Linked DNA regions of Lepisosteus oculatus. The protein of the gene in region 3 interacts with the protein of the main gene of each other region in a pairwise test. Links are inferred from orthologs where the notes say so. Each region holds a gene or a part of one and is shown on either strand. Other genes may lie near its edges.

Evidence for each region.
Region 1: the proteins of uncharacterized protein C1orf94 (region 3) and banp interact in binary tests that used the Homo sapiens proteins (3 or more experiments, as listed by UniProt). The two-hybrid records come from large-scale screens. The link is inferred for Lepisosteus oculatus from reciprocal best matches to the Homo sapiens genes C1orf94 and BANP.
Region 2: the proteins of uncharacterized protein C1orf94 (region 3) and rad51d interact in binary tests that used the Homo sapiens proteins (3 or more experiments, as listed by UniProt). The two-hybrid records come from large-scale screens. The link is inferred for Lepisosteus oculatus from reciprocal best matches to the Homo sapiens genes C1orf94 and RAD51D.

What each region holds. Positions count from the first base shown.
Region 1 is NC_090715.1:13,363,899-13,371,602, reverse strand, and holds the start of banp (protein BANP), read right to left. Parts: upstream 3,383-7,704; 5' UTR 3,246-3,382; intron 1-3,245. Other genes in the region: pdcd2l (programmed cell death protein 2-like), read right to left, coding at 5,497-5,627, 6,201-6,355, 7,019-7,132. UniProt on the Homo sapiens protein: Controls V(D)J recombination during T-cell development by repressing T-cell receptor (TCR) beta enhancer function. Binds to scaffold/matrix attachment region beta (S/MARbeta), an ATC-rich DNA sequence located upstream of the TCR beta enhancer.
Region 2 is NC_090721.1:1,695,407-1,703,610, reverse strand, and holds the start of rad51d (DNA repair protein RAD51 homolog 4), read right to left. Parts: upstream 3,383-8,204; 5' UTR 3,329-3,382; intron 3,028-3,328; coding exon of another isoform or gene 3,025-3,027; exon of another isoform or gene 2,770-3,024; intron 2,657-2,769; exon of another isoform or gene 2,410-2,656; intron 1,963-2,409; 5' UTR 1,951-1,962; coding exon 1,869-1,950; intron 1,204-1,868; coding exon 1,142-1,203; intron 530-1,141; coding exon 411-529; intron 1-410. Other genes in the region: tmem248 (transmembrane protein 248), read left to right, coding at 4,679-4,690, 5,430-5,606, 7,751-8,036. UniProt on the Homo sapiens protein: Involved in the homologous recombination repair (HRR) pathway of double-stranded DNA breaks arising during DNA replication or induced by DNA-damaging agents. Bind to single-stranded DNA (ssDNA) and has DNA-dependent ATPase activity.
Region 3 is NC_090706.1:1,999,487-2,007,824, forward strand, and holds the start of uncharacterized protein C1orf94, read left to right. Parts: upstream 1-4,706; 5' UTR 4,707-4,737; coding exon 4,738-4,795; exon of another isoform or gene 4,796-5,147; intron 5,148-5,261; exon of another isoform or gene 5,262-5,338; intron 5,339-5,453; exon of another isoform or gene 5,454-6,050; intron 6,051-6,129; coding exon 6,130-6,424; intron 6,425-7,965; coding exon 7,966-8,338. Other genes in the region: csmd2 (CUB and sushi domain-containing protein 2), read right to left, coding at 2,703-2,886.

The DNA of each region.
Region 1 (7,704 bases), on a different chromosome or scaffold from region 3:
TCCCAGAGAAAGAGGGGAAGAACTTATGAGAAACAATAAGCAACTGTAAATTGTTAAACCCCTTAAAAAAAAAAGCCTGTGTGGATCTGAGGGATGTGAGTGAAGAACGTATTTTGCTTGTAATTTCAGACAGCTGCATTAATTTGATTTTCTGGAAAGTTAGAATAATATTAATAATAAACACTAAAGTACATAGTGCAAGATGAGAAGCGTACATCACTTTATGTTTTAAAAATTAAATAATGTATTCATTATTGTGTCTTCAGTTATGAATGCATATATGCCCTAGAACAGATGGATAACAAAATGCTCTATTTATCAGTTATCAGTTATCCACAGTTAAAGACAGGATATTGCCATGCAGGCATCATTACTGATTGAGCTGTTGAAGAGCTACTCAATTTATAAAAACATCTTGACTAGCTAAACTTGTTGAAGGAAGTTTTCTTTAATTAATTTCACCACTACCACTCTTTCAGTTTCTCTTTCCTTAAACCTGCCCACTTGCCTGTCTCCGCAACTTCAGAAATGCTTTTCCAGAACGACAGTTCTTTAATGGTTACTATTTAGTCCTGGCACGTTTTCTATTTCTCCAGTACTGAGTGACACTTTCCACTAGGAAAAGCAATATCATCGTGACTTACATAACATTCTATTTTTAAGCACTGCTTATCCATAACAACATAAGAACAGTTACAATGCAAGCAGAATGAATGTTGCAGCAGAATACTTTGTGAGGAGCTTTATTTGAAATGATAAAATGCAGGTTAGGACCTGTGTCTGAATATTTTGCAGAGTTAAAAACAAAACAGTGCTGTGCATCTTACTTTCCACCCAGCTGATGTTCTTTAAGGCAAAGTTCAACATAACTTTTGTGTAATAAAACAATTCTAGAGGCCTTTTTCACACAAGAACAACACATGGTCCTGTTGCTGCAAGCCTACATGGGCTAATATTCCAAAATTTAGCCAGATCAGTTTCATTTATGACAATGGACAGCTTGCAATCAAGCAAAACAATACTTTGAAATCACTTCTTGCTGTTTTGTCAAAATCGGTTCCATCTCTGTGATCCTAACAGGCCACTAAAGGGCTTGTAGTTACAGGTAATGCGTCACTATGTAGTGTTGTTCATACAACTCTGTAATCTGTGCTCTCCACATACACCAGGAACATCCATCTATCCATCATCAGAAAAGCACATATTTGTGGTAAGAGACTTCACCCTGGATAGGATGTATGTTCATCACAACGTATGCCCAGACACACAGGCACAAATTACAGACACCAACTAACGAAGCCAGTACGTCTTTGGAGGGCATGTGGAGCTGTGGAGCGCCCTTCATGGAAACATGGGGAGACTTTACACAGACTGGCACTGAACTCAGGGCCCGGGAACCACAGGGCACCCATACTAACCACCATGGCGCCCCATCAAAAGTAATATTCCAAACAGAAATAAGACAAAAACCTGATTTCCATCGAAACCTTACAAGCTGAAACATTCTCTCGACACAAGTCAATTTATCTTCTGCTCTTAATCATTTCCTGTGGTTGCACATGGCACAGACTTAAGGAGCGACAGTGCTGAGAATCAAGGAGCAGGACCCAGAAGGTGTGTTGATGGAAAACATCTGCTGTGTGTGTGTGTGTGTGGGTGGACAAGGACCACGTATCACCCTCAATCTGGGACAAAATATGAGAAATTGCCCCGGCACAGGTGGACACTCCTGACACACCACACGTGAAAGTCCACAAAATGAAAATGAATGTATTTTTTGCAAATCAAATGCCATCTTCCTTAAACCAAAAGGCAGTAAGACCACTTCATTCAGATCTACGTTTACCATGTGTATAGCTGCATTTCCACGCTGGAAAGAACAGAAAAAGGGAGCAAAACCTGTCTTCTCCAGCATCTAAACTATGCTCCACCCAGCCTTCTTCAAATGTACAGGATATTCTAAAAATCTGTATCCACTCAATATGTCCGTGTGTGATTGTAAGTACACGCTGAATATTACTGATCTATCAGCGCCATAATGGGGAATAAAATGTTTTTTAATTGCTTTCAAAACAAATCAGGAAATACAATTTTGGAGGGCTTTGAGCAATAACTGAAAAACAAATATACAGAACACACCAGTAGCAGGAGTAAAAAAAATATTTCAAAATTCAGGTGGTTCTGAGATATAATTTACACAGCAGGTTAATCTATTGTAGGAGGCCTGAAATTGAGTGTCACGAACTTGCAGTTCTTCACTTCATATATTACAGAACGTGATATTTGATATTTGCTTTTGACACGATCATTACAAAAAAAAATCTATTTAAGTTATAAAGCCATCTCAACACCACTGGAGATAATTTAATAAAAGCTTGCTTAATGAAAGTCACCCCTGCAAGAAACGTAGTATCTTAAAATAATCATCACTGTAAATGTGCCATCGACTAATAATGATGAAACGACGACTCAACTGGTAGGATATACCAGAAATACAGTAGTTTGCTTTGCTACTAAGCGTACACTGTGGCTTGTCAAAAATGTGTTCACGATTCGTCTTTGCTAAGCGTTTTAAAAACGAAAAAGTGTCTTAGAGCAACCGCAGGTCTGTAGAGACCTGATCAATCAAGACATACCAATCTGACTTTGCAACCAAAAACGTCCATCGTAGCCGACGTGCAAAAGTCGTTTACACACCAAAATCTCACTTGCCTGGCATGACCAAAAGCATGTAAATTCGCTTGCTTTTGCAAAATTATATCACCCTAACAAATAAAAAAAATATCTGAAGGAATACCAACCATATATGGTTGCAAATGGAGTTCAGCAACATTCGTATAAAATACAAAACAAGCGGAAAAATATTTTCAGGAGCAACAGCGGAAATACTCCATTTTATTTGACAGCAATGCCTATCGAGTAAATAATAATAATATGAAGACACAGGTTTCACAAAATAAAATTAACAGCAGGCGATCACTGGGGAAGATCGCCTACACGGAGACTTTTGAAGTAGGCCCCGGCGCTCCAGTGCACTTAGCAATGAACAGAGACATTAAAATGTCTATCGTAAGGTTACTGGTACAAACAGAAACACAATGTTAAAATGCATACATGCATTCTGCATAGAAGGCGGGGAGGGGGGGGGGACAATATTTCTACGGAAAATGACTATCGCTCGGACCCCCGTCTCCAGCCCGACTCCGGCAGCACAATACCAGCAGCGTCAGTTCGGTTTATATTACCGTGTGAATGATGAATTCTCGTGTTGTTTGTTAGGGATTCCGATAATGGCGTCCTTCCTCGCGAGAGGAAAAAAAAAAAAGAGCCCAGGCCGGCTCCTGCGCGCTCCGCTCCCCTCGCGCTGCCTGCTCTGCGGCGGCGCAGTGGCTCGGGCGCTCTGCGGGGAGGGGGCGGGGCCGGCGGGTGTAGGCGAGCCGGTCCGTTTCGGGCGCCTTCCGTTTGCTTCCTGTGTGGCTACAACAACAACAACGACACCTTTCCACGAAAAAAAAAAAAGGGGGCCCTGTTAACTTCTCTGGTTTTCCGAAACTGCTTCGACTTCGGCGCGGAGCCCTGCAGACGAGCCGCGGAGATAACGAGTGACGTTGAGGTGCTTTGTGGGGGACAAGGACTCGTACCGTGATGCGAGCAAACCGTTGGGATTTTATTTCTGTGTCCATCAGAAGTTCGGGGTTTTGTTCAGGTCCAAGGGCTACTGTTTTAGGCGATGTGGAAGATTGTATGTGTACTGGGGTAGAATCAACTACTGAGTACTTAACGGTATTCCAGGTCTCGTCGTAAGTTCGTATTCCTTTAAAAAAAAAAGACATGCAAAAGCTTATATTGAGGTTATAGTACCTGCAAATCCGTTTACCATTCTGCAACATCATACAGTGGGTATAGAAAGGCACCACCTCCTTTCACAATTTGTACCTTTTGTTGCATGACACTGAAAATAAAAACAAATTAAACGAGGCTTGTTCCATTTTTTTATTTACACACGGTAACCCACATTAGCCAAGCGATAATAAAATTCTAAAGCATTCTAAAAAATTAATTAGTATTACAACAGTAAAATACCTTATTTGGGTAAGTGAACACCCCCTTTACAACTGCATTTGTAAACGTGCTCAGGTATAACCAATCACCTTGCAGATCACACAACAAACGAATTGACTCCCACCTATGATCAATTGTGTGCACATGACAACAATATCACAAGCGCTCCACAAAACTGACCTGTATGGAAGGGTGGCGAGAAAAAAGCCACATAAAAGCACCTTAAAGACACTGTGGCCAAGTGGCAAAAGGTGCTGTGGTCAGCTGAGACCAAAATCAAACCTTTTTGCCAGAATACAAAATGGTATGTCTGGCAAAAACCCAATACATCTTACCACCCAGAGAACACCATTCCTACAGTAAAGCACTGTGGTGCCAGCATCTTGTTGTGGGGGTATATCTCTTCTGCTGGAACAGGGGCACTTCTCAGGATAGAAGGGAAGATGGATGGTGCAAAATACAGGCAAATCCTTGAAGAAAACCTGCAGCCGTCGGCCAGGAAGTTGAAAATGGGAAGATGGTTCACCTTTCAACGTAACAATGACCCACAGCACACCACCAAAGCAACCATACAGTGACTGAAGGACAGGAAGGTGAATGTCCTTGAGTGGTCTAGTCAGAGCCCAGACCTCAATCCCATCGAAAATCTTTGACTTGAAGAGGGCAGTCCATCAAGTCACCACGCAGTTTGAGCTTGAAATATTCTGTGAGGAGGAATGGGCAAATATTCCTCCCTCTAGGTGTGCAAAGTTGGTAGAGGTGTATCCAAACAGACCTCAGGCTGTAACCAAGCAAAAGGTGCTTCCAGGTATGAACTGGCAGGGGATGTCCTCTTATCCAATCCAGTTATTCTATTTTTATTTGCAGAATTTTTTTTTTCACTTGGTTGTTGCTTATCATTTACTCGCTTGCAATTTTTGTGCAATTATTCACGACAAATTCTAGTATTTTGAACAAAAGACTGAAATCTTTTTTTAAAAATTATAGCAACACAGGAGGCCTTGTTTTAGGTGAAATCATTTAACATTTTACAATGAATATATGAATTAGTTAATTCCCTCTGCAGTTTCACACTTGCTTAATTTTATTAGTTTTAACATGTGTTCATGATTTCTTAATTTTCTAACTTTGAAAATGTTTAGGTTTCTGAACCCCGGGCTGAACAGGGTTAGCAATGCAGATCAGACATGAAATCTTGTAAGATCCTACATCCAAACCGTTGATGCTGTTTGAACTTTAAATTCTCCTGCTTCAGTTATTAAGCCTCCCATCGTGAGCATCTGTTTTATAATTCTGTTTGCTGAATGTAAGGTTAATGTTTATGTATGCATGTAATTGCTTTGCTTCTTTGCAAAGGTCACTTGACCTTTGTGATAATTTCTAAGCAGGTCAAAACACAACATTTTGGACTTTCATTTCTTTTTATTGACACTTCTATCTGAACAATTTCTGATCGGGGTCTGCCTGTACAAAAGGGAACTCCTCCACTGGTGTCTGGTTTCTGGATGGCCAGCAGCTGTCTCTGCAGGTGTAAATGAGCACAATCCCAAACTCCACCGTCCAGTCTAGAGGAGCAAGAGAAGAGCCAGTGTCTCAGAGACAAAGGTGTTTGCAATGGCTGACCACAGGAGAATAGAAGGATTGGCTATGAAATTCAAACCATACAAGCTGCCTTTAACAATGAACAAGTTCTGTAATTTCTCTACACTACTTTTCACTGAGGTCTGTGCTTTTGCTTGATATTCATCAGGAATAACACCACCCGAGCATTAAGTGTGTTGAAAAAATACAGAGTGCTAGTCACAGTAAATTTGGCCTAACCCGCCTGGCTGAGAGACAGAGAGCCCCCCATGTAGAGAGGAGGTGTGAACTTAGAAGCAGCTGCGAATGTAGAAATGGGGTAAAAGGATGTAAAAAGACTAATGCAAATGAGAGAAGGGACTTAGGTATAATTATTCCAGTTTTTTTAACTTGAGGAAATTACATCAGGATTAAGATTTAGGCTAATTGAAGTTGGCTGCTGTCACCCCTCCTGAATTTTCATTGGAAACTTGCATGTTATGCATCTTTTTCTACCCAAGCAATGAAATCCTGCTTGCCAATTTGGATAAAGATTTCCTTCTTAATCCGACACCCACCGTCTTCATTGGCGCCGCGGAGCATGCTGACCAGCGCGGGCATGAGCTGAAACTCGAAGATTCTGGGGCTCCCGCAGTGAGCGCAGGGGGGGACCGTCTTCTGCATGTGGGAGGGAGGGCAGGTAATGAACACGGGCTGCCCATTCCAACAATACCTGCAAAACAGGACAGCTGTGGTTGATAAAGACAAACGGGCAAGGATCCTTATTACTCTGTCCCCACCCACTACTGCCCTGTGCTTTGTAATTTTACAGGCCTGACATTTCCAGGAAAACTACTTCCCGTATAATTATTATTTGGCAGATGCCTGAGAGAAGTACCTTTGCTCTGGAATCTTGGGAGTCCACAGTCAAACAGCTTTGAAAGTGACTCATGGGTGTAAGTGCTTCCTACCGTAATTCATTTACTGGCAAGCGCTTTTGCTTAAAAAATCTAAATTAATGTAATTCTCTGAAAGTGAAGGTGCCCTATTGAAAACTACAATTTTTTACCCTACGCCTCTATAGTTCTTCTGACAATTAAGTGTTAAGTTGTGCACTAATCCAAAGCTGAAAATACTAAAATATACATACTGTTCACATACATCTTCTTGCCAGTCATTTGTATGTTTTGTGACTGGAAAATAGTGCTGCACTTCGCAGGATTATGGAATTCATGACATCCAGTGAAAATTAAGTGATGTTTGCATTGATTCATGGAATAATGGTGGATGTGCATGATGCAGTGAAGTTAGCCATCAACACTGCCAAAACCTCTCTGATCTGAGGTTGTATTTTCATTTGTCTGTAAAAGTGTGAATGCGGGAAAAGTCTCTTTACCTTAACACCTGCCCTGGACACAGCGAGATCGTCTTCATGAACCTGAAGAACTCCTTGTCCCCATGCCTGGCTTTAGTTTTCTCGTATTTTTCTACCTCCCCTCCAGCATCACAGCTGAAATGACGACATGAAAACACGGTTTCAACTTCGGTACTTAATGGTATTTTTTAAGACTTATATTATCAGCTGCAGTTAACAGTGTGAGAAAGGAATCAATGTGACTTTTTAAATGGATATTTGCAGTGGAATCTTAATCTGTTCAGAAGTTTTTCATTTATGTTTATTTCTGTACTTTTTGGGAAGAGAGATTGTTTATAAATGTCAGGTCAGGTCAAGCGCTTTGACCCTTTTCCCATCTTACAATTAGACAGCAACATTATTACCGTGTAGGCAGATCTCAAAAGCAGAGCAACACTGAGATTGGCCAGCAGGGGGAAAAGATATCTCATGTATTAGGAAAACCAAGTTGATGCTGTAAATGACATATTGACATATCAGAAATGTGAGTTCTTCCCTCTAGACCTTGACTTCCAAGCTAATGTCCCAGTGTGCGAAGTGCACAGACTGTGCTGGAGGAGGTTTCCATCCTTGAGATAAAACATTTAACCGAAATCCTGACTAGTTGATCATCCACAGTTGCACTGTTCATTTGCCTAGTCTGTCCTGCCTAAAGTTCCCCCTTTGTG
Region 2 (8,204 bases), on a different chromosome or scaffold from region 3:
ATGGGCCGGAGCTGGGACTGTCCAGCGACTGTCTCATAGGGACATAAGAAAGGTAACAAACAACTGGAGACTGTTCAGACTGTGTGATTGTTAGCAGCTATTGTAATTGATTCAAGGATCTCTTCTTAAAAGAAGCCATCGGCTCCAATAGTCCAGTGCATAGCTCAGCTATTACTCAGCAATGTTATTTTTGCGAACTCATAAGCTTATATTCATTTCTTGCTAACTGAATATATATGAGGCAATACCTTATGAAAATTGGGAGTAACAGGCTGTGCTAGATGCCAGGTGACCCCCCCTGGCATTGTCGTCTGGCTGGTATGTAACCTGGGTGAATCCCCTCGCTGTTGAAATTCTCCACTGGGTAAAAGCCGCGGAGAAAGGGCCCAGAAAGAGAAAGGGCCCCTCACCTCTCATTTCCTGTGGACAGGATCGCCATGGAGCTCAGCAGCTCCTCGTAGAGATCAGCTCCCGAGACAGGAAAGCCAGTGTGCTGAGTAAGGAGGACACGGCGTATAGCTACCAGCGCCTAAAACACAAGGGGAAGAGCCATGTAAAATGAGGTTATAAAGCCACATTGATTTTACCACGGACACGTAACACACTTAAAAAAGCAGTGATTAACCATATGTGCAGAATGGCAGTGCAGTAGTTAACATTTGCTCCAGATGTTTTTGCAGTAGGCCTAGGTGCTGTGCAGAGAGAACAACTGGAATGCATCATGCCCAAGAAACATGTGCCTGAAAGTGGGCGCCACTACACATTCGTCCTAGCAAGCTACGACTCGCTGAAAGAGGTTGACGATGTGCCTGACTAGGAAGGCAAATTAGCTCCTAATTAAGGCACTTAATTAGATAAGCAGACGGCCCAGTTGCACAGTGGTTAGCATTGTTCGTGTTCAATTCCTGGGGTGCTATTTGCCTGAGTCTTGTATGTTCTCCCCATGTTTGCGTAGTTTGCGTAGTTTTTGCTGGGTGCTTCGCTTTCCTCCCACAGTTCAAAGACAAGCTGCCAGGTTCACTGGCCCCTGGGAAAACTGGCCCTGGTGTGAGCGTGTGCACAGCTCTGCACAATTAAGCAGCACTGGCGGGAAATAAACCTGTTGGTTATAGGTTTTGAGGAGAAACATGTTTTTTCCTACCTTGTAGGATATGGAGCACTTCTGAGCAAGTTCCTCAAGTTCTGATGAGACCAGGTCTTCCACTGAATGTAAATTGTGTCAACTTAGATTCGGTTGCTAATACATATTCAAAATAAATATACTCTGTTGACTGATCCCCAAGACTATTTTAAAAAGCTTTTATCGGTCTGGACATATACAATGCATGTTTTGGTTGTTTGTGGGAGTCACAAAGATCTACCTGCTCCACTAGTATAGCTAGCACAGATACCTTAATATCAAAATGTGCTTTTTACAAGTGTAGGATCTACTTTTTCATTGCAGTATAAAATGTTTTTAAGGTTTATTAAACACGAAACAATACAAAGGAGAAAAGGCGGCCAAAAAGATCAAACAAAAAAATACAATGATACAGATAATAACAAATCTGAACACAATAAGTTAATATTTTTACATACATCAGTTGTGTTTTTTTCCTGGTTATATTCCAGGTTTTTAATGGAATTTAAACTCAATGTTGCATTTTCACCTTATAATCATTAAAGGAAGGAATATAATTATATAATTATACATATATATATATATTTGTGTATGTGATATTTACCCATTATGAATAACAGATTAATTATAAATAAAAGTTCCTTTCCATGATACTGTACATCTTGCAAAGGACAGTATAACATAACATCAGTTAAAATGTTCCTGGCAATACTGTCTCAGTGCCCAGCCATGTGATCAATATCCTGACCTGTCCTGATCTCTTGGGTCCGCAGTGCCTGTATCACTTCTTCAGTCAAGCCGGGACACAGGCCCTCTCTGAGGAAGACCATGGCTCCTGGCAGCTGTGCATGAGTTAGAACCATTAAAAAGATTAATTTGTACAAATCATTAAATAGATGACACATTGCATCCACTGCAAGTTCAGAGCTGTTCCATAATATGGTTTATAAAGTGAAGCGTAAAAAAACACAGTACCATTAGGTTATCAAACTGTGGATATTTTTGTTAATGAAAAATCATGGTAATATTAGTACTCTTTTCAGCGAGGTTCTTGAAAAGAGAATCGACATCAGGCTAGATGCAGAACCAGATTCACAGCGCTGGTAGTTTCAAACTTCCCATGTGCCACAGGCGGAGAGGGGAATGCTTTCTGAAATGCAGGCTCGTACTACTGTACCGTGAATATAAACTCGTAACTTTAAATTGTCTAAAGCTGTTTGCAGAGTGGGTCAAGGGATGTTGTTTTGCGAAGCACAAAAGATTGAACGTGGTCTGTCTGCTATCCTTACCAACTGGGCAACGTCCGGCTTCGCGCTTCACCCTCTAGCAGAGAAAAGAGAGTTTCCCTCCCAGAAGAATTCAGGTTTTAATGGCAGTTTAGTGTGCTAATGCCTTTAGCGCTTTAATTCCCTGTGTCGATGTCAGTACCAGTTAAGTCGACATGCCCTCCTAAGCGTTTCTCCTGTTTGAAAGTGAGAGTTTGACGTCATCCCGGAAAGAAAAACTCCGTAAACAAGAGGGGCGTGTGTAATCGACTAAAGCGGCGCGGGTTTGGCGTAGCGGTGCGGGGGACGACGACAAGGGACGATTCCTACGTAGAGTCCGCAGGGGCGTTTCGCGAATAGGGCCGGAGATGGCGTACGCCTGCGCAGTGGCGACGAAGCCGTCAGCTCGGTAAATAGAGGCAAGGCTCGGCAGGCAGTAGGTGCGAGAAGAGTAAAAACAACATCCTTGAGTATTAAAGGAAAGTGAACTGGGAACCGAGGCTGGCAGGGACGGGCAGATAATGGGACAGGAGGCAAGCGGCCCTTCCAGTGCTATAAGCTCCGACTGTCCCGTGAGGCCGAAATTTACTCTCCGGATCTAATATCGACTCGCAAGCCGCGGCTCACAAGGAAAGAAAAATGGTGAGTAATTGTCTTCATGGCAAATCAGCAATCCGCCTCCGACAGGTATTTGAGGTTGCGAGCTGTTCGCTTTGAAACGCGCTGCTCGAATAAGCCCACCAATTGGGAGGGGGGGGGGGGGGGACTTTTTTTTCCCTCCCCTCCCCACGGTTGTTGAAACGCATTAAAGGAGTAAATAAGGCCGGGCTGCTGCGTGTTCGCCAGCAAGCTGGCTGGAAGTGCAGGATGTTGTAGATAATAAATATGACGTATTTCACTGATGCACAAATAAAAACAACTGACTGTGGCGCTTTACAAATACCCGTCATAATGCCCGTCGTCGTAAATTGATCGAGAAACTTCATGGATAAACTGATATCGTGTTGTTGTTGTTGTTGTTGTTTTTTGGTGGCGTCGCACTCCCTCGAAAACAACCCCTAAGCGTGACATTCACATACGTGCTCATTCCTCACAGAGGAAGAAAACCATACGTGTCTTCACTGGGGTCTCCGTCTGTGTATTGACGTGTTAATGGTGATGTGCGCAGTGGTTTGACTGTGCTCACTTTTGTCTTGAGCTTTAACGTTGTTGACAGCATTGGTTGCGTCAGGGTCGCACCTTGCCGGTGTACATGAGCAGAGGTTTTTTAGATCACCTAGGATTTAAATGCAGGCAGGTACGCCACAGTTAGTGAGCAGCCTGGCCATTTTGTAGTTGTGCCTTTGTAAACGGTAGTTATCGTCAGCTGTCGGGAGACCTTTTGACCAGGTGGCGCTCAGAGGAAGTTACTGCGAGATCTGCGTGGTTTGTTTTTAGTAAACGTGGGGGGGAAATGTATTATTTAGCTTTGAATTGTCATTAGGAAGAAAATATCGCAAGACAGACTAAAAGGCAAGTCCACGGGTGTTATGACAGTTGACTTTTAATTACAGGCTCTTGACAGGAGCCAACACATCGGTGTCAGTCTTTTTTATTTACTGTGAACGAAAGACACGCGTGGAAGTTTGCACTCAGTGCCTAGTGTGTGGAAATAATGACTGTGAACGAAGGATTTTGTATTTTTTTTTTAATACAAAGCTATTTCTGTTAAAATCTTTGGCCCTCCGGTGTTGCAGTGCAAGACGGAATGACCTGTAATCTAGGAAGTACGACTGCCTGCTATTGTGTTTTACAGGTGTTATTGGGCATTTGTTTTATTGTGATGGCAGTCTTTCTTCTGTAATGCCTATACCCATTTTTTCTATTTTTCAAGGGTTCTTTTATTTCTCTATATAAAGATGTGTGGACCCGTGTCTTCATGTTCTTGCTAGTTTTAGTTGTTCTCTATTTCCTTCGTCTAGCGTACCTTTCTGCTGTAGCTTTGCCACTGTACTGACCAGACAGCTCTGCAGGGCGGTTCAGTTGCTGTTGCAGGTGAAAGCTTTCTTTTTCAAAGAATGCATTCTGTGGCTGCTTAATTGTTTTGTTTTTTTTAGCATTGTTTCCTCAGCATTTGCTTACAAATGCTTAGGAACGTCTATTAGTCTAAAGCCATCCTCCATTTGCAGAGATATGTATTCTGTTAAGAGTTAAAATAGTCTCTTCAGTACCAGATTAAGAGTCAACTTCCACTGGACAGAAAATCTGACATTTAAAGCTTCTGTGGTTTCTTCAATGTCCACCACACACTTGTATGTTCAGTCATGTAGGTGCATTTCCTTTCCTTTGAAAAGTGTTTTTTTCTTCAGCAGAGCAGGCCCCTTAAGTAAATGTTTGTGCAGTGGAGCTCTGTAGGTCTTCAGTGAATTTTGTCACCATCCAGTATATCTTAACAGTAAATAGTTCATTTTAGTTGGTCCAGTCAGTTTACAATAGACAATAGTCAAAGAAGCTCTCATGTAATAACATGTAAATTAAGTGCAAATTCTGAATTTTGTGGAATCTGTCCTTGTAGGCAGTAAAGGAACAGGTTTCATTGCATGGCGAAAGGTAAAGAAATGAAGCACAAGGTTTCGACTGAGGAGCCTTCATCAGGTGTAACAGAGAGAGAGGGGAACTAGCAGATAAATAAGGCAGAGAAGAAAAGACAGAGTAGTTAAGTAGGGGCGGTTGTGAAGCAGGTGAGAACGAGTGTCCAAACTCAGTGAGAACAGGAGGAGAGGTGTGAAAAACCGAACTCTGCAAATGAATTGAGAAGGAGATGAGTCTGTTGTTAAGAAAAGGGGAAGAAGTGGTCCATGTTTCTGGATCATTTGGGTTTCAGATGTCGTTGTGCAATACGAGTTCCGAAACCCCTCTGTGAGGATGCAGATAGAGCGCGGCCATTAGTGATAAAATTGGGAGCTATCGGGTTGGAAAGATCTTTGATCCTCACAAGCAGCAGTTTATTTTGCTGCTTTGCTTTGGTGAGCACTGGTGTGAACTGACTGTCTTTGTGTTTGCAGGTGTATTTGACAGGAGCAATGCTCAGCATCAATCCCCTGGAGAATCTGAAGACCTACATCAGTAGCCGGCCTCCACTGGTCATTTTTATGGTCAGTGTAAGTGCTGTGGCCATTGCCTTCCTCACTATCGGCTACTTCTTCAAAATTAAGGAGATCAAATCCCCAGAGATGACTGAGGTGGGAGGATTCCCCGTTGCTTCTTCAGTAAAACATTCATTGGCATATTTAGCAATAAATGATTCACTGTCAGTTTTATTTTAATTGGTTGCATACTCTTGTCTAAGTTCACTTGTTACTGAGCTCCTCTTGCTAAAGGTAGATGCTAGACATCTTTTCAGATGAAATAAAAGGATGTAAAAGTGGTTTGCAGGGATTCTCACTGGTTCTTTTGGCATGGGCCTGTGCCTGGGAGGACAGAACAGGGCCCAGAGCTGGGAGATTGCCAGATCAGACCCAGGCAGCGCCACTTGTACTAGCACATTCTGGCTCAAGTAATGGATTTTTTTTTTTTCTCCTTTGGAATTCACAGAATTCTTGACGACAATCTTAAAGAGCTTTCAAGCTGAAAGTGTCAAAAAAAGGTTACAAAACCACGTTACCTCACTGATGTGATGCACACTCAAGAAACCGGCTGCAGAGTGATTTCTGTAACTAATCAGCCCCCAGATTGGCCCTTCTAGTTTTTGTTTTTCAGAACGTTAACATTTGAACCTTGGAAGTTATCAGTTATCATCCAACATTTGACAGATCCACTATACACGAATTATTCTGAGCTTTAAAAGATACATAACCTTTGAAAAAAAATGCAAAGCACTACCAGCTTTTTGTCGTTGGTGCACTTCCAGTTTGATATAGGCAAATTTGCTATGCTTATTAACGTTTGTCATTAACATAGCGGGAAGCTCGTGGAGCAGGGGTTAACATTGTTTCCTTACAGCGTTGGGGCCCTTAGTTCAATTCCTGGGGTGTTATTTCTGTGGAGTTTGTGTGAAAATAGGCCCTGGTATGAGTATGCGTGTTTGTGTCTGGGTGTGCCCTGTGATAGACTGGCGTCCCATCCAGGGTGTATCCTGCCTTGTCCCTGTTGCTTGCCAGGATAGGCTCCAGCTCCACCGCAAACATGAATTGGATGAAGTGGTTAGGACATGGATGCATGGATTAACACATGGTGTACTCTGAAATCCACAGGCTAGTAGTATGACCACAGTCAGAAGCAATACAAGCTTGTATGTCTGTCTTGCATGTTTTGCACTATGTTGCATATACTGTCTTGTGGGATTCTGCTTCATTCCTCTTACAGCCTTAAGAACATGCCTGTTGATTGCTCTTTGTACCCTTGATGCCACATATTGTCCCAGCTTGTCCACAGATGTTCAGTCGGACTGAAGTCTGGCAAGAAGATATCCACAGCATAACTGTCACATTCTCATCTTCCAATTCTGCTGTCGCTACAAGAGAAGCATGAGAGCGTGCCTTTGTGCTGCTGGCATGTTGTCCCATCAGGGTGAGCCCACAGGATGGGCTTCAAGTGAGGTTCCCAGTCTTGATCAGTGTAACGATGTCCTGTTAGGTCATCTTCAATCAGCTGTGGCTACCTGGCGTTCCCGATGCGGCGGAATGTGAAAAAGTGACTCAGAGCGTGGAAATGTCAATCTTGGCAGAGTGTTGCGACATCTCGTATAGTTTAACTGCTAGACCTTATTTGGCTGTAACATGTTGCAATGATAGAAATTGCTGGCTTGGAGTATGCCAGTGGTGCTCCTACTTATTCCAACCCCCAGCATTCCAATGGCATAAAGATATTGTTCTCTTGATAAGCCAGGCATGTGGATTGCTTTCTGTATTGATCCAGAATGCTTGAAGTTCAACAGGTTAATTCATTTCATTACATGGCCCCAATCAGCTTTCACTAATGAGGTTGTTAATTGCTTATTCAAAGTCACTCAAGTTAGTCGTGAGTGATCAGTTAATCCAAATGACACTTGATCCATTGATTCAGTATCCAAAATCTGTCTGCTCTATTTTTCGGAAAGCATGCATGCAGAAATTGAGTATTTATTTTGATGCTCCGTATACTTTTTGCTGAGCCGGATTGTTCATTTCCACGAATGTTTAAAACCTTTTATGTGTGTATAGAAAGTGAGACGTTTTAGGAGGAAAAGCATTGATTTAAATTTAAGTTTCAAATGAAAGTAAAAATCAAAACATCATGCCCTTTAAAACTGTGACTTTCATAAAACTGTGAGAGCGTTGTTGAACTGTGATCTGCGTGGATTGAAAAGCAGGCATGCACTAGCATTTATGCCTTTTAAATTTGCAAGGACTGGAACACCTTCCTGCTGCGCTTCAACGAGCTGGATTTCTGTATCTCGGAGAACGAGACCCTGAAGCATGGGCTGAATGAGTCGACTACGCCGGAGAGCACCGTGACCAGCGGCCAGGCCCGGCTCAACACTCAGGCCCCCCCCCTGCTGGAGGACTCGGGTCCCATCAACATCTCTGTCCCCATCACCCTCACGCTTGACCCCCTGCGCCCGTTCGGGGGTTACTCCCGCAACATCACCCATCTCTACGCCACAGTGCTGGGCCAGCAGGTCGGCCTTTCAGGTGAGCCCCAGAGTGTGCACCCGTGTTAAAATACAACAGTGTACTAGGAGGATCGCGGCTAGAACTGTGTGCAGTTTTGGTTTGCACCTTACAAAAAAAAATACACTCCTGTTCTAGAATCAGGCTGAGGAAAATTGAGCAAATACATTCCTGGGCTCAAAGAAACGC
Region 3 (8,338 bases):
ATTATACCATTTGACGAAATTATATTTTCAATCATATGATTGTTTGTTTGGGTGTAACTGTCTCTGGTGCATCTATCTGATCAATTCAGCTGTCAAATTCCAAGGAACATTCAAGATCTTTCGGCAGGAGACGCCACTTAGCATTTTCAGTGATTTTAACTGTAGGAGCGCAGAAGACACGTCTGCATCGGTTTCGAGTTTACTAGGTTTAGTTCTAAGCTTCATTTTATTTTCACACCTGTAATACAGCACTCGCGTCTGAGAAAAGGGCTCTAACGAAGCTTTAGTGCCGCACAACGGGAGAGGCAGGCTACTGCTTGCGAGAGCGAATTCAAATAAAATCGCGGAGGAAGGCAACGCGCAATTACACTGCTTCTATATGCTGTGAGACAATAAGGCTATTTATACTTTTGAAATCGCAGTGGAAATTGATTAATAAGCGGCTTTCAAATTCTCTTACTCATTAATCGGTTTAAGGAAAGTAATGCTCTTCTGAACAGATAAGTGGACGACGTGCAGTCTCTGTCTCCATCCTTCTGCGCGCTCCGAGGAACCGGCGAGCTCCGGCTTTAACGCAGAGCGCTTCACACGGAGGCAGTCCATTCATCCGCCCATCGCTGCCGTGACAGGAACATCTCGCATTTGCTTTCTTTGCATTTACAACTAACTCCGACGCATTTCTTTTTTTTTATTATTTCACCCACTCTCTCCGGTTTTTCTTCAACAGCAACAGGACTAGGGAACATCGAGCCGCGGCGTCTGAGAGAGGCGCATTCACGTACAGTAACTGTGTGTGAAGTGGAATCCTCATTATTTTATTTCGGGTTTGCAGTAGTAGGTGATATACAGATCATAATCCTGGAGGCATTTTTGACAAATCAAAGAGAAAGAAGTGTGATTTCTTTTTTTTTTTGCGGACGAAGAGTGTTTGATGTTTTCCTACTGTATGTCTGTCCTTTCATCCATTTTTCCTTAAGCTCTTTATACCCGGAAGCTCGTGGGAGCCGGGCACGGGCAGGAGGCAGGACCACACCCTGGGCACCTGCAGGCATGGCACCAGTGGAGCCACCCAGCTGGTCTCCGGACTCCAGAGCAGCCGGAGACAACCCACCTGCCAGCGCAGAAGTCACAGTCCAGGAGTCCCAGCTCTAGTCAGGAGCTAGCCGCCACGCCGCCCTCTTTTCCCCATTATCAACTACTGTATACAGTATATTCCCTATAATTCGGTAATACAAATATAGTATTTGTTACAGTTAAACGACTGACGAAGTATTGAATAACTGCACTTTATTTAATAACATAAGACGTGTTTATTAAATAAAGTGCTGGAAAGTAACACTGTGGTCCAATGAAAGTGCAGTTTCAAATCTCAGATCAAGCCTTTAATCACCATCAGGGTATCTGGCTGGTGGTTTTATCCAAAACGACGGACCTTGTTCCTCTGTGTACAGATGCGTAGTGCATCACGAGCGCTGCGCGGCGAGTGGCCGTGGTCCCGCTCACACCAAGCGCCTTCGCGTCAAGGATGCGATACAATAAATTAATAACGAGCCTGTAAGGTGACGTAAATCACTGCTCGTAAACATAAAGAGTGACTTTTCTCCGCGGGAGAGTGTTTGCCCGACTGTTCAACGCCAGCCGCGCTCCTTATACAGATACATGGGAAAGTTATGGCGCACAGTATTGATATTAAAAATCAGGCAAAAAGCTCTGTAAAAACTCAGGGTAGACGCGTGCCTCTTGGGGAATTTAATTTTAAAAATAAACTCCATCGTGTCAACACGAGATTGAAGGAGGGACTTCCATCTCTCCTTCGGCAAACAGAATGGTGTACCCAACTCAGCCTCCAGCAGCCACTGCCTGTAACTGGAGTGCGTTATTAAGAATCTGCCGACAAATTTCTCCGTTCTCCAGCTCACACATACTGTATATACACATATTCCACCACCACAACTCCTATACACACCCGCTTCCCCACTACTACTGTAGATTATTAACATAACAGCAGCAACAACAAAAAGTTCATCATCTTAGCCTTCTTCTCGCTCATACACAGAAAACTATTTTTGGCAAGATCGCAGTACTGAATCTCTGCCATTCTTCCAGTCTTCTGTGTACTGTAGAGATTGGAGGAATAGGAGGTTTTTACACAAACCCGACCACATTTAGGACGGAGGGGGTGGAGTTGGGGGGGGGTTACAATCGGGCTTGGACAGAACAGACCAACATGCGAAGGACACAGCAAGTCCAGCGTGCACGACCGCTCCTTCAGCGCACAAGCACCTGTCTTCTATAAACAGGTAAACGGGGTGCCATGCTTATTACACCGACCGAGCAGGACGACGAGCCAATATCACGAAACACGGGGAAAGAGATAAGAACGAAAAGGGGTTTTAACCGCAGTACAGCGGAAGTTTTCTCCCCCTCTCCCCTTTAACACCCGTTTCATGCCTTCACCAGAGAATTCACGCTGGATGCTGAACATAAGCTATTGTATCCAGATAATGGAGGATGTCCGAGGCACCGCGTTATGCGTCCGGTGTGTTTCAAATCTATTTATCTCCGAGGAACTTAACGATGGATTGACAGTAAATAACAGCCATCGCTAACCAACAAGCGTACAGTACAAAAACGCCGTCTTGTCGCACAGGGTACTGCTCCTGACTTCTCCCGCTGGCGGAAACGTGAAATGGGCAACTTACCCTTCGCAGAAGAAGCCAGCAATCCCATGTACAAGAAGAGAACCCGGCTCCAGTAGTGTACCGGCACTTCCACCCTCATTAGCGCAAAAATCCCCAGTCTGTCCAGTTTCCTCGGGCCGCTGTAAGAGCATCTACACGCAGTCCTTACCAGTCCTCTTCCCTCCGAATTCAAAGAGGCTCTCATGGCAGAAATCTGGCAGCGACGCTATCAGATGGTTTGAAAGGGAAGATTCACTTTGTATCGGCGCTGAGAAAAATCCCAGTGCATTGAGGCTCCGCTCCTGCAGCTGGAATGAACCATCTCCTGCAGATCCCGGGGTTGGGAAATCTCAAGCCAAAAGATCCCCCCCCCCCCCCCAAAAAAAAAAAAACCAAGAAAAAGACAAGAAAGACTTATCTAGCCGAGATCAAGGCTCATATGTACTCCTCCCTTCTGGAAATCCGGGTTTTCTATTTTGTGTTTTAGGTAGGGTTAACCCGCCTTCCGCTCTGCTCTTCCTTCGAAGATGGACAGTATTCTTATTTTGATGTATTAGATGAACGAATAGGATAATCGCTACTGTTCATATCCCCGGTCTCACTCCGGTGTGGAATTATAACGCTGCTGCCAATTAAGCGCTGATCAGACGCAACTGTGAAGGAAAACCGATGCCTTTTATCGACAGTAAAGTTTTCCTCTTCTCACACATCTTGGGATTGTCTCTCAGCGGAACAATGGTTCGTTTCTTTTCCAGCTTCTCCTGGCCGTTCGTGATTACCGTATTTCACGTTTTATCGACGCTGCTGTTGAGCGCGGAGACTGCGGAGTGCGGCTTCTCCCCTCTCGCGTTCTCCCTCTCTCTCCTTCGAGTATAACCCGCCTTATTGGTGATCGTGCTTAGCCTATCATAAGGCTTCGTGTCCTGGCGCTCTGCTCGTTCACATGATACTTTTGAGATTGATAATCATACGTTTTAAATGAACGGCTGACCACGGAATGCGTTACACAGGGGGGTCCCCAGGGCCCGAGCCCGCGGGCCGAGACGCCCCCACCTGCCGGCGTGCAGCGCCGCTGAGCCCGTTACTGATCTCACTCTGAACCTTCACGGGTGTTTTTTTTATATATACTGTATATACAGTATATACACCACTCAAAAAGACAAAAGAATGTGTTAAAACCCAGACTGCTCTTGTGCACAGTACACGAAAACGATTGAAGGTATCAGTTTGAGTCCATTACGTATACCGGTTTCTGAGGGATCCACAATTATACTTTCACTTTTCCTCGCAGGTAAAAGCCCATATACAGTATGAAAAACACCTGGCCACGTCCTGTATTGGCACTATCTAACCATTGTGTTCGCCTTACGTGTGTAGAACTGAAATGTATTAATTAAATTACAGGGCAATATCTTTTATTAATATTTGACGGTTTCTGACAAGAACACGAAACCATCATCTAAAACCTGAGTATCGTCCTGGATATCTGATAACACTAAATACTGTAAGCAGTGCATGAAACTTGCAGTATTTTAGTCGGCATTTATTTTTTCATTGGAACACAAATGACCGTGTTGTCAGAATACACAGACGCATTACAATGTGAACGCGTTTACAGTGGTTTACAATTTAGAGTGAACATTATTGCTTTGTACTTGAATCATTTATCATACTCTGAATTATTCACTGACCTCGGAGCAAGAGCAAAGTGGAAATAATTTGAAAACACGCTCACGTTTTTTTTTTTAGTACAACAAAGTTTTTAAAGCAATTAATATTTAACAAGGAGAACAAAGGGAACTATAAGGTTAATACTCTCTGCTCCTCAAAATGCAGTACATTTATTCAAAACAGCGGGACCCAGTAGCTAAAGATGAAAAAAAATAATAATTAAATGTGTAAAGATGATTAAGCAGTGAGGTCACACTGTAAGCCACTGAATCACAAAACGTATTTAGCTGACATCGTACGTATTGCTTATGGAGTGAGAAAGCTTTATCGGATATACATTACACAATGCATATATACTGTACATTTTAACGGTAGCACTCAGAAAATGCCCACGTCTAGCATGTACCGTACATCACGCCCCCAAACCGCCGGACGGGCAGGAGGTAGGATTTTCGATTTTCTGCGGAGAGCAGTAGAATGTGCTTCAGCTGCACTCGCCGCTGCCTCCGGGGAGTAACAAGGACTCGAGAGTTCATCTGTTTTGCACCCGATAGATAATCAAAGTCCTTTGACTCCGAGCATTTGGGGACCCTGCTCGCTCCTGCTGCTGGTCTGGCACCCCAGCTGCACTATCGGGGTATCTCCGCTGGCTCCACCAAAGTCGGCCGAGAGGAATCGTGCCAAAGCGCAGCAGCGGTTTAACTACGGTGCTGAACCAGCCCCTACAGCTCCCATCACCGGTCACACCCCAGTTTCCTGTCGGAAATACTACAGTTGTCACTTTGGATAGACGTGGTAGTATAGATCACAATAATGCAATGCTATTCATTTGTAATACTGATATATTTGGTTAAATGAACAGTTAAGTGCGTTTAAAATGATCTGTGAAACAGTTTTCCGCTCTTCAAGGCCAGACAGCCTCTACAATTGACGCCGAACACACGCCAGTGAATTTCAGTGTCATTTGCATTTCTTCGCCGTAACAGGTAATTAGTTTCCTTACACCCCTGACGATAAAGTCATCCGGTTAATGAAATGTGTCTGTCTTTAAACATAATATTCAAATAGTGTCTACGTGCAGAGTCAAGAATTCATACTCACAAATTATGCTAAATAATGCCTAAAGTGCCCGGGCAACGCCAGTGTGGCATTAACAAGTCATTTAATTGTTTCTTCTCGTCTCCTCTCGGGACTTTGTCTTCCCCTGGCACTGCCCGCTCCAGACCTCCCACGACAGAGAGCTGACAGGTTTCTCCCTGCCGCCATCTAGAGCCTCATGCGCCCTCCGCTTGCGCTTTCTGCGCTCATGCTGTAGGTACAGGGCGAGCAGCTCTGTGACGCCTGTGAGCGTATTATTCATTGTTTAAAACTATGTTTAAACGGCTCCTCGCCATTTCTAAAGCTTCCACTTGCTGTCCGAATTTATCGCCGCACAAAGGTTGTAACCGGGTCTGTTTCGGGAGCTGGAAAGAAAGTATTGTTCTGAAGTCAATTATTTTGAATACCCTTTTCGAGTTCGTTCACTGCCCCTTCTCTGCGAATGTTGCGCTCGTTCTGCCTCGTTGGGCTTTATCCCTCTAAGATATTTTTCTTTGTCGCTTTTGAATTCCCGTGTTATATTCATTCCTATCCATCCAGATTGTTGTGTTTAAATATACCGGCTGTACATACTGTAGTACACGCGCACTTGCACGTACTGTAACCTGTTGTCGCTCAAACTTCTAATACACTTGTTGCTATGGTTTCCTTTATTGTTGTTATTATTTATAAATCACAGATCGAAGAATTAAACCCAAACATTCCATTGGTGTGGTCGGGTCTTCAGGGTGGTCAGCAGCCCAAACCAGCTTCACTAAAGACACTCGAGTTTTCAGGAAAATGTTCCCGAGAGTGGATCGCGTTAAAACCAAGCGCCAGCTGAAGAGGGCCTACGCGGCGGGTCCCTTCCCTCGATCTGTGTGGATACACGACAAAGCGCCCGAAGACGACTTGGATAAAGTCTGCTATGAAATATGGAAGAGGGTTCAGGTGGCGACGGCCGGCTCATCGGCACGGCCTACCGCTGCAGACAGGTACCCGTCAGCCGGACTGAGTCTAGCGCCGCCAACAGCGCCGGGCCGGCACCTGTGGCCGTGAACTCGGCCGGCCAGCAGGGTCGGGAGCGTGTGTCCAAGTACGGCCTTCTCGGCGCGTTACTGCGGGGTCACAGTAGATTCAAGGTTGGATTTCTGGAGAGAGGGCCAAGCTTTTATGCCGCACGTGAGGTTTTAATTTGAGAATAAAAAAATAAGGCGGTCAAGGCTCAAACCTTGTGATTGAGTAAGGGTCATCCTTTAAACCCTGTGTACAACTTTTATTTTATTTTTTAATAATTGATTGCAAATTCATTCATGAGCCGTCGTGCCTGAAACGGGAAAAAAGCCCCTCCTTCCAGCGGCGAGCTCAGTTCAAGCTAAGGAAAAAAAAAAAGTTCAAGCTAAGGGTTCGCCTGCAGTACAGTAGAAGCACAAACGGCGAAGCACCGGCACCAGTCAAACGTTGGAGCACAACGTGACCATTTTTCTTACCTTTCCCCCTTCTTACAAAGTTGCTAGAGCTCCGTTTCTTCCTTTCCTCAGTGGTGCCAAGGCTGCACTCGCATGTTCCTGTGCTGAGAAAGGAGCACATCATTCAGAATCAAGGGACTGAAGAGAAACGCTACAGATCATAAGAGATCTGTGGAAAGACATTAACTTGGAAAGCTCATAGATACTAATTCACAGTCACTGGAAAATATGAGCTACTGTATCATAACTATAGTAATTAGAAAGTCAGTTGTTCTGAAATGTACACCTGAGAGTGGACGCCGGACTCACATCAGGCATTGCAGATGCCTACAAGGAATGGACACAACACAGGACTTCCAGCATTCAAGATAAACTGTAAAAAAAAGTCTGGTGAACTAACACCAAACTGAATCACTTATTACAGCCGTTGTTTTGCTTTATGTACAGTAATTATTGATAACAACAGCTGGAGTTTAAATCGTTTCTAAATCCTTTTCATACTGCTTGAAATTTTCTGTAGAAAGGGCAACTCGTACGTTTTTTGAAAAACTATCTCTTTTTCAGAATTGTCTTCTTCAAATTCCATTATTACAGTGTATCACAGATCTGCAGGGAAAAAAAAACTGGCCAGCTCGCTCCGAGCCTGTCGTTCAGGTGTGCGCGTGTGTTGTCATCGAGCCTGCTTGCGGGTGCTTTTCTGTTGTTTCTTGTCTCGCCTGCTGAAGCTCAGGCCCCTAATCTCCCACACAAACAGTGCCATCTGTCCCCTGGCTGCTCAGGGAATGCCACCTCTCAGGTAACTGTGCCCACGTGACTGTGCCAGCGCATCAGCTGGAGAGCTCCACAGCTCAAACACAATGTGTAACTAACAAGAAGTTGTTTCAAACTCATTCTAAGGGATATTTTCTGCCACTGGGATGAAAACTTAATTTGATCATTTATTTTGTACAGACAGATAAACTGTTATGTTTTCTTCTGCCTTTTTTTTGTCTGATGACCAATATTTACAGCTGTGCCGGTTTTTTTATCCCCTCTTCTAATGGCTGCTCCATCCCTCTGGAACGCAGGGCCCCGGAGCCCGCTGACTTGGTCCCGCCGGCGCCGCGGGAGCTTCCGAGCGCGACGGCAGAGCCGGCACCCCCAGCGGGCAGCCGGGACGCACAGCGAGCACGCTGGACGCACCCCGAGCCCGCCGCCGAGGGAGTGGGCTCTGTGGAGAGGAAGAGGAAGAGCATAGAGGTGTTCCTCCGGGCAGTCCTCCAGGGCAAAGAGGCCGGGAGACCAGAGCAGCTGCCGCAAGGAGCTCTGCCTGCTGGGCTCGGGAGCTCCTGCAGCAGCACGGAGGCCCCAGCTCCCGACAGCAAGGCCTCCCAGGGCCTCTCCCAGTTTCCCGGGAAGTCCTCAGAATCCGGCCTGGCATGGCCGGGGCAGGTGGAGGTG